Linked DNA regions of Arabidopsis thaliana. The protein of the gene in region 3 interacts with the protein of the main gene of each other region in a pairwise test. Each region holds a gene or a part of one and is shown on either strand. Other genes may lie near its edges.

Region 1 (5,397 bases), on a different chromosome or scaffold from region 3:
GTGTACACTGAAATATCACAAACAAGATTATATATATATATATATATATATATATATATAATAAAGATATATTTTTACAAATTTGATTGATGAATTTTGGTAGGTAAATTATTTAAAAATCTTGTCATCTATAGTTAATAATCTCTATATCTCTTTTTTAAAAACAAATCCAATTTTTCCCTAACAATTGATATTCTAGTGTTTCCTCAAATTAAAAATTCATGATTTCAATAAAATATAATCATTACTAAAATATATCTTACTTACTTAGCAAAGTAATAAAATATAATCATTACTAAAATATATCTTAAAAATTCTGCAGTTACTGCTCTCTGAGAGTTTCGATTCTGTTTTCTTACCGTAATCTTTCTTCAATTGTTGTTAACTTGCTATTACTAATATTTTTTGTTTACGACTTTGAGACTCTTCACATAAAGCCTTAGTGATTTTCTGATGAAGTAATCTTATGCATATATTCATGAGAAGACACTACCATATTCATAAATTTAAACAAAAGCTCATATGCTCAAGTTTTCATTTAAAGACCTGGTGGCTAATTATACCTTTCATTTAAGTGATGCAATGATCGATAAAATAATTGTAACAGAATTCCTTCACAAACGGGTAAACAATACAAAGGATTAGCCATCTTCAATAAAGCACAAAGAGGATTGAAAAAGTGGACAAGTAAAACCAATGATGAAAGGGTCTCTTGGGTCAAAAATGTACATAATTTATAACTGAAAAAAAGAAGAAAATTTGATGGAAGAAACGTGTGGAACATTAGGAGAAAGAAAGAGAGGGATATAAATAACCCAAATTTAGAAGATTTAAAATACCCGAAAATATGTGAATCTGTTTTGATTCGGCTGTTACATATATTGAGATGATAGGCGATGTGTTGAAGCTCAAGAGTTGTTATGTGGGAGAAGCTAAGGTAAGTTTTAGGATGAAACCGATGATGAGTCCGATGAGTCCAACCATAGCTGCCAACTTCAAGGATAGCCCATTTCCGCTGTTCCTCTGGTTTCTCCGCCTCCTTACCGTTTCCTGCAATGTCGTTCAAAAACATTTTAGGCAGTATCCTTTGTTATTAAGCACTGTTATGTTCACATGATTTTGTCTGAATGGTAATATGATTGCAAGCATTAACCAATGCTAAACTATCAAGGAAAAGGTTCATGGAAGCGTACCAATTCATGTTGCAGCTGTTGTGTTTGCTTAACGGCTGCATCTCGCTCTTCCTTCAGCCGCTGTATAGTCTGTTCATACATATTGATGGTATAAACGTCCAGAAAGAGGATTAAAACAAGACACGAATTAATCTTTCTTAAATTATGATATGAATGTGGCCACTTGTGAGGTTCTGTGAGATACATTTGTTCACCTTATGAAGAAAGGTATAATAATAACCCAAACAAAAAATTAAAGCTTTGAAAACCAGCGTATGTCTCACTGTCCCAACCAATCAACTCAGTCTGTCATTACAGTATCTATAGCTTGAAAACCAAAAGTGCGAATACTAGAAAGTCTAAAATTTGATTGAAACTTTGAATAATAATTCTTGCAGACAGGTATCACAAAAAAGGGACTATTCATAAGGTGTCTGTCTATGCAAGAGGTCCATGGTACGTCAACATACTAAGTAAATCATTACCACATGCAGATTAAATAATATAGGTGGGTACTCACAGAGATGGTTTCCGAGCTTTGTCCATCACCATTTGTTGCTCCGGATTCAGAGGATCTTTGGGTTGTAGACGGGGTAATATAAGAGACTTTGAGCTTACATTCTGTTAATGTCTTTCCACTGTCCTTGGTGAACTAGACACACAAGTATTGCATATATAATGTCAATTTGTTTTCCAAAAACTGCAGAAACAAGAAGAATCTTAATAAAAAAAGTTTTAAACTTGGATTTCTTACAGTGTCTTGAGGAAGTTCATCCACATCAGTGTGTGGAGGTACAATGGTACTTTGCAGGAGAAATTTGTCTTTGCACTGCATATCTGGAGGATACTCTCGTTGCGCTTGTAGAGTAACTATAATTAAGAAGATCTTAATCATCTCCATGTTCAAGTTTTAAACTGCTAATGAAAGAAGTTAGAGTATGAGGAATTACTATACCTCTAATGATGCAAGAGTCCCATGGCTGAATGACACCAGTGTTAGGTCTTACAAAATACTTCTTTGGAGATGTTGTTTTCACCTGATTGATGAAGCCAAAAACACAAAAGAAAGAAGCCATTGTAACAAACGAAATAACTTGATCACAAGACAAAGCATATGAAGTTGGTGGTTTGATGCAGAAATTACCTTGAAAGCAACATAGTTCTCTGTTTTATTGGCAACTTTAAGATCACAGTAGCTTTGCTTCTCAAGTTCAACTGAAACAAAATCAAAAATTCCAAATGTCATCCAAAGGAAGACCCTCCAAAAAGTTTCAAACAGCAATTTTCTTAATAACCAAGAGAATCAGCCTTATCTAAAGTCAGAACCTCAAAAGCTCAAAGAAGTTAACAAAAACTTGATGCTGGTGTATGTAAACAAGAGGAAAACAAGCATTGATGATACACACAATTTCGAAATCTCTAGAGAACAAAAAGATGGTAAATTCGAGAGAAGCCTTTTCTCATTCACATTTCACAAATTAAGAATAGATATCCCTAGAATTAACCAAGTATAGATGAGACAAATGCATGCCATTGATTAACGAAGAGAGTGTAGAAGAATGCTTACAGAGAAATTTGAGTTCATCAGGTTGAATGGAGATAAGCTGATTCTCGCCAACGCCGGTCATCTTTTTTTTTTGTTTGCTTAAAGCTACGACGACAAAAGTTTCACAATCAAATCTCTATTGAAAAAAGTATACAACAACATCAAAAAATCGAAGCCCTAATCCAAACAATTCCGATTTTATCTAACTTTTTTCCAGAAAAGGTAAAAAGAGGGGAAAAACTGAGAAATGAAGAGAGGAAAAAAAGACGGATCAAACCTGAAGAAAACAAAAGTCACGGTCCCAACGATGAGGGAGGAAGAAGCTGCTTATTTTTTTCTCTGGCTCTCCCGATAATCGCTCTCCACCAATATCCCAAAACTCTCCTCCTATCTCTCTCCTCTCGTTCTATTCGTGGTAACAAAGGCAAAAGAAGAGAGAGAAAGAGAAACGGGGAAGACGAAACCCAAAGGCGCTTCGTGGAGCGGCCACGTGAAGTCGAAGCAAAGTTTCCGTACGATTTTCCTCCGGCGTCGTCTCCGGGAACTGCGGGGAAGAAGAAAGAGCGAAAGAGAGAGAAGAGAGGGAAAAATGTGACACGTGTGAAAACAGTTGTGCATTGTAAGAGACGAAAAAACAAAGGTTAAAAGCGACAGGCTGGAAAAAAGAGGATGATGACGTGGCAGATATTGATTGGTGTTTGATTTTATATAGTGGCTAAAAAGGCTATAATGAGCTTTCAGGGTGGTAGGCCATTTTTCGTCTCTCACGATTGATGATATTTTAAATTTATTTCTCCGTGTCCATTAATGATTGATTGTTAGCAAGTAATTAATTATCGGACATAAAAGTCATCATACAGAGGAAAGAGACAAGAAAAATACTCAATCATTCGTTTCTTTTTTCCTGCTTTAGCTGGAAAATTCATTTACATGAATGAATTACATGATTTTACATGTAAAAAATCTATTTTGAAAAGCAATTTCAATGATTCAAAAGTTTTATTTTAATGATTAAATCAGTCATATTTCTGAAAAAGAATACTAAAGGGTCCAGATTCTACATACTCAAGATCAAAACAATCAACATTGATTTACTTTTCTTAAATTACTGTTACTGTAAATTACATGAAAAGAAATGAAATCCAAAAGACGAAACAAACAAACAATTATTACAAGAGAAAAGAGAGTAGCTAGCTACCTTTGGAGATTGAAGACAACACAAGACAAGACTGGTGTTGGGTTTGGTGATCATTTAAAAGTTGAGAGACGAGGAAGTTTGTCCCTCAGATAGTAAAGTCTTGCTCTTCTCACTTTCCTGTGACTTACCACTTTTATCTCCTTTATGTTGGGAGAGTATCTGTTAAATTCAAAACACACATCACATCAGATACATATTCTAAACCAAGATCAAAACATATTACTTGATTGTGTAGATTAGTATCTGTTCAAGATCAAAACATATCAGTTACATATTACTTCATTGTAGAATCAGCCAATAGTACTGGAAAGTTCATAGGGACTAGTATGTTATGATAACGGCTAGACTCTAGAGTGATTAAGATTAAAGGTTGGTGCGCGTTTCTGTAGTAAATAAGCACAAAGCTTGGTGACCTATAATGCTAAGACTTCCAGCATTTATGTACTAGTTCCTATAGTATCATACTTGGAGTAGCAATTATTTCCTTTTTTCGTGAAGAAAGCTAATACATATGATCAGATATAGAATTGTAAATCTCTTAAGTTCTCAAGAAGCGAAGACTATGACTGTTCACGATAAAAGAAGCTAATTCCGGTTTGTTTTAGAGTTCCTAAAATCTCTCTCAAAGCCAAAAGACTCCTTAACAAGGTCAAAGACCCTTAACTCTGACTATCTAATACTATTTACATTTATACTTATCAATATACCCGAGTAAGTGTGTGATAATAGGATAGTTAAGGAAGAATAAACTTACATGGGAAAGACGATTTCAACACCAATGCCTGCAATAATCCTCCGGATACGGATAGTAGTGTGGATGCCTGCATTTTGTCTAGACATCACAATACCTTTGTAGATAGATAGCCTACGTTTGTTCTCAGGAACTTCCTGTAAAATCAAACCCACCATGTCGTATCAAAATCTTGCAGTTAAATGCATAAATTGCATAAGATTATACGGGGACAATGAGTTTTACCAGTTTGATTTCTACAATATCCCCAGTCCTAAGTCCAGGAACCGGTCTTACAGTCTCTGCAACCTCAATAGCTTTCTTGTTCAGTAGCTACAGAAACAAAAAGCAAATCAACATTTCATTTCTCCAATGCCTAAAAGATAACTGATGATTTAAGAACAGGAGCCAAAACAACTACAGTATCAGACATGTATAATCAGATTCAGAGCCAAAACAAAACACTAGACAATCTCATAGAATCACATTGGATAATGAACTAACCCCCATGATATCTCCGAGCTTGACTCTCGTCTTCCACGGAGGTTTAGCTTCCTCCGCCGCAACAGTGGCTTCTCCTTCTCCTTCCGCTTCAGTTTCAACAGCATTCTCCACAACAGCCTCAGTTTCACCTTCAGTACTCTCTTCAGCTTTAGCGATAAACTCTTTTCTCTTCTTGGAATCGATGGCGAAACCAAAATTGGAGCTCGAATGATTGAGAAAAACCCTAGAAACTGATAGTCTTGAGTTC
Region 2 (3,144 bases), on a different chromosome or scaffold from region 3:
TAAATCGATCACACGACAGAATGAACAACAATGACCGGATCGAAACAGAGGAGAGTTCATCAACAGACATAAGAAGAAACATAGAGAAAAGGTCAGGAGACAGAGAGAACGAACAGCATAGAATTCAGAAGCTGAGTTCCTCATCGATTGGATCTAGCAAAGAATTTAAATTCGACAACACGAAAGACGAGAATATCGAGAAGGTTGCAGGAAACAGCTGGAGTTTCTTCCCGGGGTTACGATCTGGAGTCAGCTAACCAAATTAAAATGACATCTCTTCTTCTTCTTCCTCATTACCAAAGACAGAGATATAAAACCCTATAAGTAACAAACCTTGAACATGGATCGTGAAAAAAGGTAAGAGATTTGGGTTCTAACAACTTATACACACTGAATAAATAAGCTTAAAGCTTTGATTTGCAGTTAACTTCTGTACTCATGTAGTTGGAAACTTTGGAATATTCTTGGATCAGCTCCTACATCTAATCTTGTTACATTGATATAAATTGTTTATTTCTTGTTTTACTGTTTCATACAAATATATTGTTTGAACTGAGATCGTGAATGGTCTTATTCTATATCATTACTAAAACATTTTCATTTCTGTTCTTTCAGAAACATAGATTCGGTTATTATCGTAAGAAATCTAATACAACTGTGAACTACTACATAAACTGAATTGTTCAAAAGAAAACATCGAAATAATATACAGAACAAAAAGGGAAAACAACAAGAGCTGTGAACCACAAAGGAATTAAACCGGGTTTTGACTCTCCTTATTGGAACCGGAACTAAACCGGGATTTCAATCCTCCTTATCAGAACCGTAATACCTCTTAAACGCTCTGGGTAGATAAACCGGAATCAAAACACCAAAGAGATTAAACGACCAAATCCCTAAATTAGCCGCCGCCAAAACTTTCCCGGCATACATCCGCCGCGCAGAAACCGTCCCCGTCACATCCTCCCTCGAGAACTCACTCATAATCCACTCCACAAGAGTCAAAACCCTCCTGGCGTTGTAAACAATCGGAACAAGAATCCTCGCCGGAGCAGAGAAGCCAAACATGGTCGCTAATCCTTCCATAAAAATCTGACTCGCTAAAAGAAACACGTGCGGTGCAGCTGCGCTAACACCGTTCTTATCATCCTCAACGATTCCTTCGAAGATGTAACAGATCGGAATGATAAGCCCGACGATCCCCGCCGCTGTAACATAGATACGGAAGATTTTGTTTGTGGAGCTTGTGAGAGGAGCGTCACGGTTTGGATTGTTGTGTGGTGGGAAGATAAGTTTCGAGAGGAAGAAGAAGTAGATGAGAGTGAGGATCGTGAATATGAAATCTTGGATTGTTACGAGACCACTTGCGGAGAGAACGATGATTATTGCGAGGATGTTTAGTTGTCGGAATGAGAAGAATCCGGCGGGTTTTCCGGTGGATGATACTGTTGAGGTGGATTGGGTTTGATGTTCTTCTTCTTCTTCTTTGGGTAAGGTTATGTCGTTGTACGTTGGACCGACACCTCCAGACATCGTTTTGGTGTAAGTTTTTTTTTTTTGTTTTCTCGGGAAAATGTGGTGAGAAAGTTTTAGAGGTGGAGGAAGATAAAAAGAGTGTGAAGAAGGGGACACGTGGCGGATAGTGAAGAGTTTTGAATGGAAGAGGTTTAGAAGACGTGGCGGATTATTGTTGTGCTCACAATTAGTTTAGATTTTATTATTTTAACTACATGCAGGTAATTTCGTAAAAGTTCTTAAGAAACATATAAATATATGTGTTAATAGGAAGCCTAATTATTTTGGCTTTCTGGACGTAAGTGCACTAGGCTTTGTAGTTATAGATTTCAATTATAAGCTTCAATGATTACTAGTTATAAAAAATGATATAATTAGTTAGCAGGAAATGAATCCGGAACCATAAACTGTAGAATTGATTTAACTAAAAAGGAACTAATTACTAGAAATCGTATGAAACAAGGCATTGTAGATTACTAGACTTGTAGTAGAATATGGAATATTGTAGATATTCTACAAGAAGAGCTTAGATCATGGGTGAGAATACTTGGTTGTAGAAACAACTTTAAATTCGACCTCCAATGTCAAAGTGTCATTGTCCAAGTAATTACACTCCCGATGGCTATAGCCGCAAAATCTTCGCAACCCCACCCTTGAGTTGATTTCTTGTAACAGACGTTAACTGCAAGAAAAATAAATATATGTAAGGTATTGAAAATTTAGTTAAGACTTGAAAAAAGCAACTAAGTGATTTATTCAAGAATATAGAAAATTGTGTTTCAAAGTTAATTATACGTTTCTGTGTGACGTGATTGTTGTATACATGTGGACGTGGGTATAATACTCGGAGATCTGCATGCACGTAAATCTTCTCATCCTCCGAAAAGGTTTCACTATCAGCTATATATATGCAGAAATAAGGACAACCATTTGCCATCTGCCTCTCTTCCCTTTGGATACATCTTCAAACACCTATAGAAAAGTCACATTATTTTGTATACACTTAGCATACATAGACGTGTATATATATTCAATGACTTATTAGCCTCACCATTCTCTTCCTCCAACTGAAAAGTTGTTTGACACATAAAGATTCTCTGTCAATAAGGAGAAACCATTGGCACTCCAGGAGAATGTGGATGGTGAGAGTTTCTGATCAAAAGACATCACTTCCCAATTGGTAAGGGGTGGAACAACCATCACTTCAACACCAAACTCGCATTTTTGCCCGTCGAATATATATCCATTTTTTGGATTTTCGAATAAGTGGAGAGGAAGCATTTGAGAGAATCCCCATACCATTCTTAAAGCATTGAAACGCTTTACTTCAGTATCTATTAGAAAAAATGGAGTAATTCAACGTGACATATGTGACAAATGAACAAGTCTTATATAGTTAATATAAATATTGAATAATATAGATATGTTTTAAACCAACAACTTTGAATAGTAAAGTACATTTGTTCTTTCTTATTGTAGACGAAGAACTTGACATATGCAAAAACTTCAGATGTGCTGTCTATTTCTACGTACATTGAAATATAACCACTTCCATGGTCCTCGTCGTTCCCTTTTGGATATATAATCAATTTCCTGCAGGTTTTCTTTTTAACAGAAATATTATTGCAT
Region 3 (5,303 bases):
GTTTTAGATCATGAATCTCTGTATGTATATTAACGCGAAATTGAGGATGGTTCATACTCTTCTGACGGCTATAAGTCAATCAAAGAAAGTCATGGTAAACGCCGGTTTTATTTAATTTTAGTTTGTAATGTCAAAACAATAGCTAGTTCTTTCAAACAAAGAGAGAAGTTTAAGTTACTATTTATAGCCTTACCAAAAGAAAAGAGTTAACGATTTCTGTATAACGATAAATTATTTGTCAGTAATTTGCTCTTTTTAAAAAAACTTTAATTCCTCGTCAAAACTCATTGATTTACACATTTCCAAGTTTAATTTTCTCTCTTTTTCTCTCTAAATTTGCTAATCCTATATACATATTTTTTTCGTGGAGTTGTCATATTTATCATTTATGAGAGCATGAAAAATCAGCGTGAGGAGAGTACTTCAAAGTTCAAAAATAGTCTTGTCTTTACGTTATAATTGAAGCTTCTCCCAAAGAAATTCTTACAGAACTGAAAAATAGCATTTTAAGTTTACAACATAAAATTTAACTCAATGTGCTTCTTATTTGTGGAGAAAAATCAAATCTAGCTTGATCATTATTGATGTACGAAATCAAACAAGTAACAAACGAGATCTCAAGGGAAGTTTAAAGAATCACTATTTTATAGATGGGTGTAGATCGCTTCTTGGATGAGTAGTTTGAGGACGACCGTCAAGATTCTTAATCGTCCTCCAGTGACTTTTCTAGCTCATATTCCTTGTTCAGTTGTTGTTCTATTGTTGATGCTTTGACCACTGAAATGAATACTTGTTAATTAAAGAATTTATAAAGAAAATAAACAATAAAACCAGTTTAACTTACATGAATTTTTGTTCACTGTCGATCTTAATAGTCTAAAATCATATATCACAAATGTTTAGATTAACGAATAGTTTTGTCTTCAACGAGGAGTTACACGAGTAATGGAAGCTTCGTCGACTGAACAATGCGTAGATGAATCAATAGATGGACCTGCTTGTTCCTGCTTGCTTCGGAAGAAAAATCCAGGTGGTCTAGGCTCAGCGAGAGCGATCAAGCTAGTAGTGAGCATTTGAACTATCGATGACATGGTTGGACGATCTTCAGCATCTTCCTGAACACATAGTAAAGCGATATGGATGCACCTAGTAATTTCGCTTGTTTGATAATTATCTCCAAATGACGGATCTACAAGCTCTGATGGCGACCCATTGCTCCATAGTCTCCAAGTCTATTGAACATTTTAATAATTTAGACTTTGGTCACGTTTTTAAATAAAGCAAAAAGAAATTAGAAGTTTTAAGGCTTTATACTCACATATGTAACCAAGTTGCCAACACTTTCATCCATTTGATAGAGACTACTATTCTTCATGCCGCTTATAATCTCAAGTACTAAGACGCCAAAACTGTACACATCTGATTTCATGGAGAATTGGCCGTACATCGCATACTCGGGAGACATGTATCCACTGCCATAATTCTTATTTTTTTTAGTTGATTGAAACGTATTACGGTCTATTGATGAAAAAAAAGTGGCAAGAGCAATACTTACTAAGTTCCAACTACTCTTCTTGTCATGGCTTCTGTTTGGTCCATCCCAAATATTCTCGCCATTCCAAAATCTGCAATTTTAGGATTCATATCATCATCCAAGAGGATGTTCCCTGCTTTGAGGTCTCGATGTATAATTGTGAGTCGTGAATCTTGATGAAGATAAAGAATTCCTCTAGCAATTCCTCCTATGATCTTGTACCTTCTTGTCCAGTCTAGCTTCATTTTCATCGTAGAGTCTGTACAGCGTATTTCAAATGTTAAGAACAAAGAATGGCATACAATTTGAAGATATCTTGGCTACGTACTAAATTTAACTGACCAAAGAGGAAGTGATCAAGGCTCTTGTTGGGCACAAACTCGTAGACAAGTATTTTTTCTTCTCCTTCCAAACAATAACCAAGCAGCTTTACCAAATTTCTATGTTGGAGCTTTGCAACAACAACAACTTCGTTTTCAAACTCTTTTTCACCTTGTCCTGATGTCTTCGATAGTCTCTTCACCGCAACTTGTAGTCCACTACTCAATGTACCCTACACGAGTAATTTATTTTAAGATAACCATAAGTATATAGGAATTGTCGGTAAGATTAATCATGAAAATGAAGTACTCAAAATGCAAGTATACAAGTAGAAGTTAGTATTTGTTACAAATATAGGATGATAATTAACGACTAGAGTTTCTTTGTTCCGCAACAACCTTTGCAAGTACAAGGTTGCTGCACTCATCCCATACATCTCAACTTTCGAAGTAATGTGTGTGAGATTTGATTTGGAAACAGGGGAAAAACAGAGTACATTGCTCTGTTCAATGGTAATAATACCTTGTAAACTTCGCCGAAACCACCTTGACCTAGCTTGTTAATTGGCAAAAAGCAATTCGTTGCTGCCTCAATTGCCTTAAAATCAAACTGAAGTGATCCTGCAGTCGTAATATCATTCCCATCTGGAAAAGAAAACTTCAACAGCTGAATTAAGTAAGAGCACAACAGACTATTCATTCTATGAGGAGATATGTTTATCACTGGTGTGCTTACCTTCAGCTACTGGTTCCTTCTCATTAAGCGTCCTCTTATTTTTAGCCCTGACACTAAAAACAGCTACTAATAGAAGAAAAAGTACAGTGATTGGAACAACAACTGCAATAATTATGACAGAGGAGTTTCCACCTTTTCCTGTATCAACAACAGCAAGAATTTTTTAAGCAAAATTCTTGTATGAAACTTGTGTTGAAATATGTAGTCAAAGGAAAGGGACTGTTCATACCAGGACGTGGTGATGAATCTTGAGGTGTTCCAACATTAGATTCGTTGTAAAACGCGTAATTATCGTATCTTGAAGCACAGCTCGGCAGAAGAATCCTTCCCCCAATTTTGTCATAGGTTACTTGATTGATGCCTATTTTCAGACAGTCTAAGCAGTCTTGTTCCCTAAGATCAGGAGTGCACCGAACCATTCCGTACAAACTCTGGGATGCATTTAAATCAATTTTTCTCACAGCCCATTTTTTGAAACTCCTGGCGGCTTCAACGGCGGCTAAGTTCATGGGGGTCAAGACCAAATCTCTGAACTGATCTTGTTTGACTGATAGAGGATTCCTAGCGCTCTGCATGAACATTCCTCCATCGGTGTTTAGAGTGGCTACTATATTCCTGTTAGAGTATCTGAGCAGACACTGCTCGTAATAGAACACGCCTTCTTTATCTTTTGGACACCGAGTCAACGTTTCGTTTACGGCAAAGGTGACGCAGCTACGGCAAACTTCCGACGAGACGTCGACGCGGCAGAGGAAAAGTCCGGTGACCCTGTCGGGGGCCTGTCCCGCCGTGGCGGTTTGGAATCCGGTGGAGTAAGAAGAAGCGTTAAGGGAAGAGAGAGAGGACAAAAGGGTTTTGAGATTGGTGGAGTAAGTGCTGTTACTTGAGAAAGTCGTCGTGACTGAACAATTATGATATAGGTAGAAAGTATTTTGAGCAGAAGCTGTGATGGATGAGAAAAGGAAAAGGAAGATGAAAGAGATCAGAGAAGACATGGTTCCTTTTCCTCGATCTGGGTTTCAGATCATGTAGCTCTCAATTTTTGAAACTAGAACTATATTTTTCCCTTTTTTCTATGAGACCAACAAGTCTTAGTAAACGCCGGTTTTATTTTATTTTATTTTGTAATGTCAAACTTGTATCGCGCAAAATAATAACTATTATTAAAAAAAGACAAAGAGAGAGTAGTTACGATTTCTAAATTACAATAAACTATTTGTCAGGAATTAAAGGAAAAAAAACAGCCTAACTTAGTTGGATATGATAAGATATTATTTGTCAGAAAAGAATCTTTTCTCTCTCTCTCTCAATTTTCTAATACAAGATATTATTTTTATATTTTTATTTTTTCGTGGACATCAGAAATTCAGAATTATGATAGCATGAAAAATCAGCGTGAGGAGAGTACCGCAAATATTGTCTTAAATTGTATTTACGCTGTAATTTAAGCTTCTTAAAAAAAAAAAAGTTTTAAACCATTTTCAACTCTATTTTAAAAGAATTGTATTCTAATGATCATCTCCAAAATAAAGTTTTTTCAAAAATAAAGGAAAATATAGAAGTAACCATCGAAGATGTCTTTACGTAACCGAAAAATAGCATTTTACACTTTACATCACAAAATTAAAGTCACTATGCTTCTTATTTGTGGAGAAAACAAATCGAATCTAGCTTGATCATTTTTGCGTGTTTTGAGATGACAATTTTTTCTTTCTGCGTGTTTTGACTTTTTAGATATGAGTCATTAAATGCATTCACATCCTCCAAGCATGTCTACTAGCAGGTCTTTTCCTTGTTCTGTACGTAGATGATGCATCGATCACGGTTTTTAGCTCTCGTTGAAATTGAGGCTAATGATTAACATGTATATTCTTTCATAAGCCCCAAAACCTAATATCAAAGATTGACTCACATAGTCCAAGTCTAGCACAAAAATTTCAAAGTTGTCAATTTCTTATTAATGTGCATGGTTATTCAAATGGAAATTTTAAACTGATGATTAAATTTCTAAGAACCACAAATAGTCAAATACTAACTACACCACCCACACATTATCTCAAGAAAAAAGAAAAATGGCAACGAAGAGTTGTGAATTAGTCCTCTGTTTCTTCGTCTTTTTCGTCATAAGCTTCAGTGCAATTTCTGTTTCTGCACAAACTTGTGACAATACTACTGGGACTTTCATACCCAATAGTCCTTATGATAAGAACCGCCGACTCATCCTCTCTACTCTAGCTTCTAACGTCACGGCTCAGGAGGGCTACTTCATCGGTTCGATTGGGATTGCTCCTGACCAAGTCTTTGCCACCGGGATGTGCGCTCCAGGTTCTGAGCGTGATGTTTGCTCTCTCTGTATCAGGTCCACATCAGAGAGTTTACTACAAAGCTGTCTGGACCAGGCAGATGCTTTCTTCTGGTCAGGTGAAGAAACCCTTTGCCTTGTTCGCTACGCTAACCGCCCCTTCTCTGGATTGCTCGTCATGGATCCACTAGGAGCGATATTCAACACAGGAGAACTCAATACGAATCAGACTGTGTTTGATATCGAGTGGAATAATTTAACTTCTAGTATGATCGCCGGAATAACTTCTTCTTCATCAGGGGGGAACAATTCGTCTAAGTACTACTCAGACGATATAGCTCTTGTGCCGGATTTTAAGAACATATCAGCGTTGATGCAATGCACACCAGACGTTTCGTCAGAGGATTGTAA

Evidence for each region. The genes of interacting proteins can lie anywhere in the genome.
Region 1: the proteins of CRK19 (region 3) and AT5G47180 interact in a protein complementation assay, tested with the Arabidopsis thaliana proteins (one large-scale study listed by BioGRID).
Region 2: the proteins of CRK19 (region 3) and AT5G52420 interact in a protein complementation assay, tested with the Arabidopsis thaliana proteins (one large-scale study listed by BioGRID).

The regions. Positions count from the first base shown.
Region 1 is NC_003076.8:19,160,466-19,165,862, forward strand, and holds AT5G47180 (Plant VAMP (vesicle-associated membrane protein) family protein), read right to left. Parts: upstream 3,516-5,397; 5' UTR 2,801-3,515; coding exon 2,740-2,800; intron 2,388-2,739; coding exon 2,317-2,387; intron 2,210-2,316; coding exon 2,128-2,209; intron 2,043-2,127; coding exon 1,927-2,042; intron 1,825-1,926; coding exon 1,693-1,824; intron 1,263-1,692; coding exon 1,194-1,262; intron 1,051-1,193; coding exon 919-1,050; 3' UTR 544-918; downstream 1-543. Other genes in the region: AT5G47190 (Ribosomal protein L19 family protein), read right to left, coding at 3,967-4,075, 4,671-4,804, 4,893-4,979, 5,151-5,397. UniProt on the Arabidopsis thaliana protein: May play a role in vesicle trafficking.
Region 2 is NC_003076.8:21,280,206-21,283,349, reverse strand, and holds AT5G52420 (uncharacterized protein), read right to left. Parts: upstream 1,578-3,144; 5' UTR 1,534-1,577; coding exon 805-1,533; 3' UTR 544-804; downstream 1-543. Other genes in the region: AT5G52430 (hydroxyproline-rich glycoprotein family protein), read left to right, coding at 1-257.
Region 3 is NC_003075.7:12,169,415-12,174,717, reverse strand, and holds CRK19 (cysteine-rich RLK (RECEPTOR-like protein kinase) 19), read right to left. Parts: upstream 3,702-5,303; 5' UTR 3,586-3,701; coding exon 2,820-3,585; intron 2,729-2,819; coding exon 2,591-2,728; intron 2,500-2,590; coding exon 2,378-2,499; intron 2,088-2,377; coding exon 1,877-2,087; intron 1,794-1,876; coding exon 1,556-1,793; intron 1,473-1,555; coding exon 1,319-1,472; intron 1,233-1,318; coding exon 939-1,232; coding exon of another isoform or gene 924-938; exon of another isoform or gene 778-923; coding exon 757-777; coding exon of another isoform or gene 673-756; 3' UTR 541-672; downstream 1-540. Other genes in the region: AT4G23271 (uncharacterized protein), read left to right, coding at 673-774; CRK18 (cysteine-rich RLK (RECEPTOR-like protein kinase) 18), read left to right, coding at 4,663-5,303.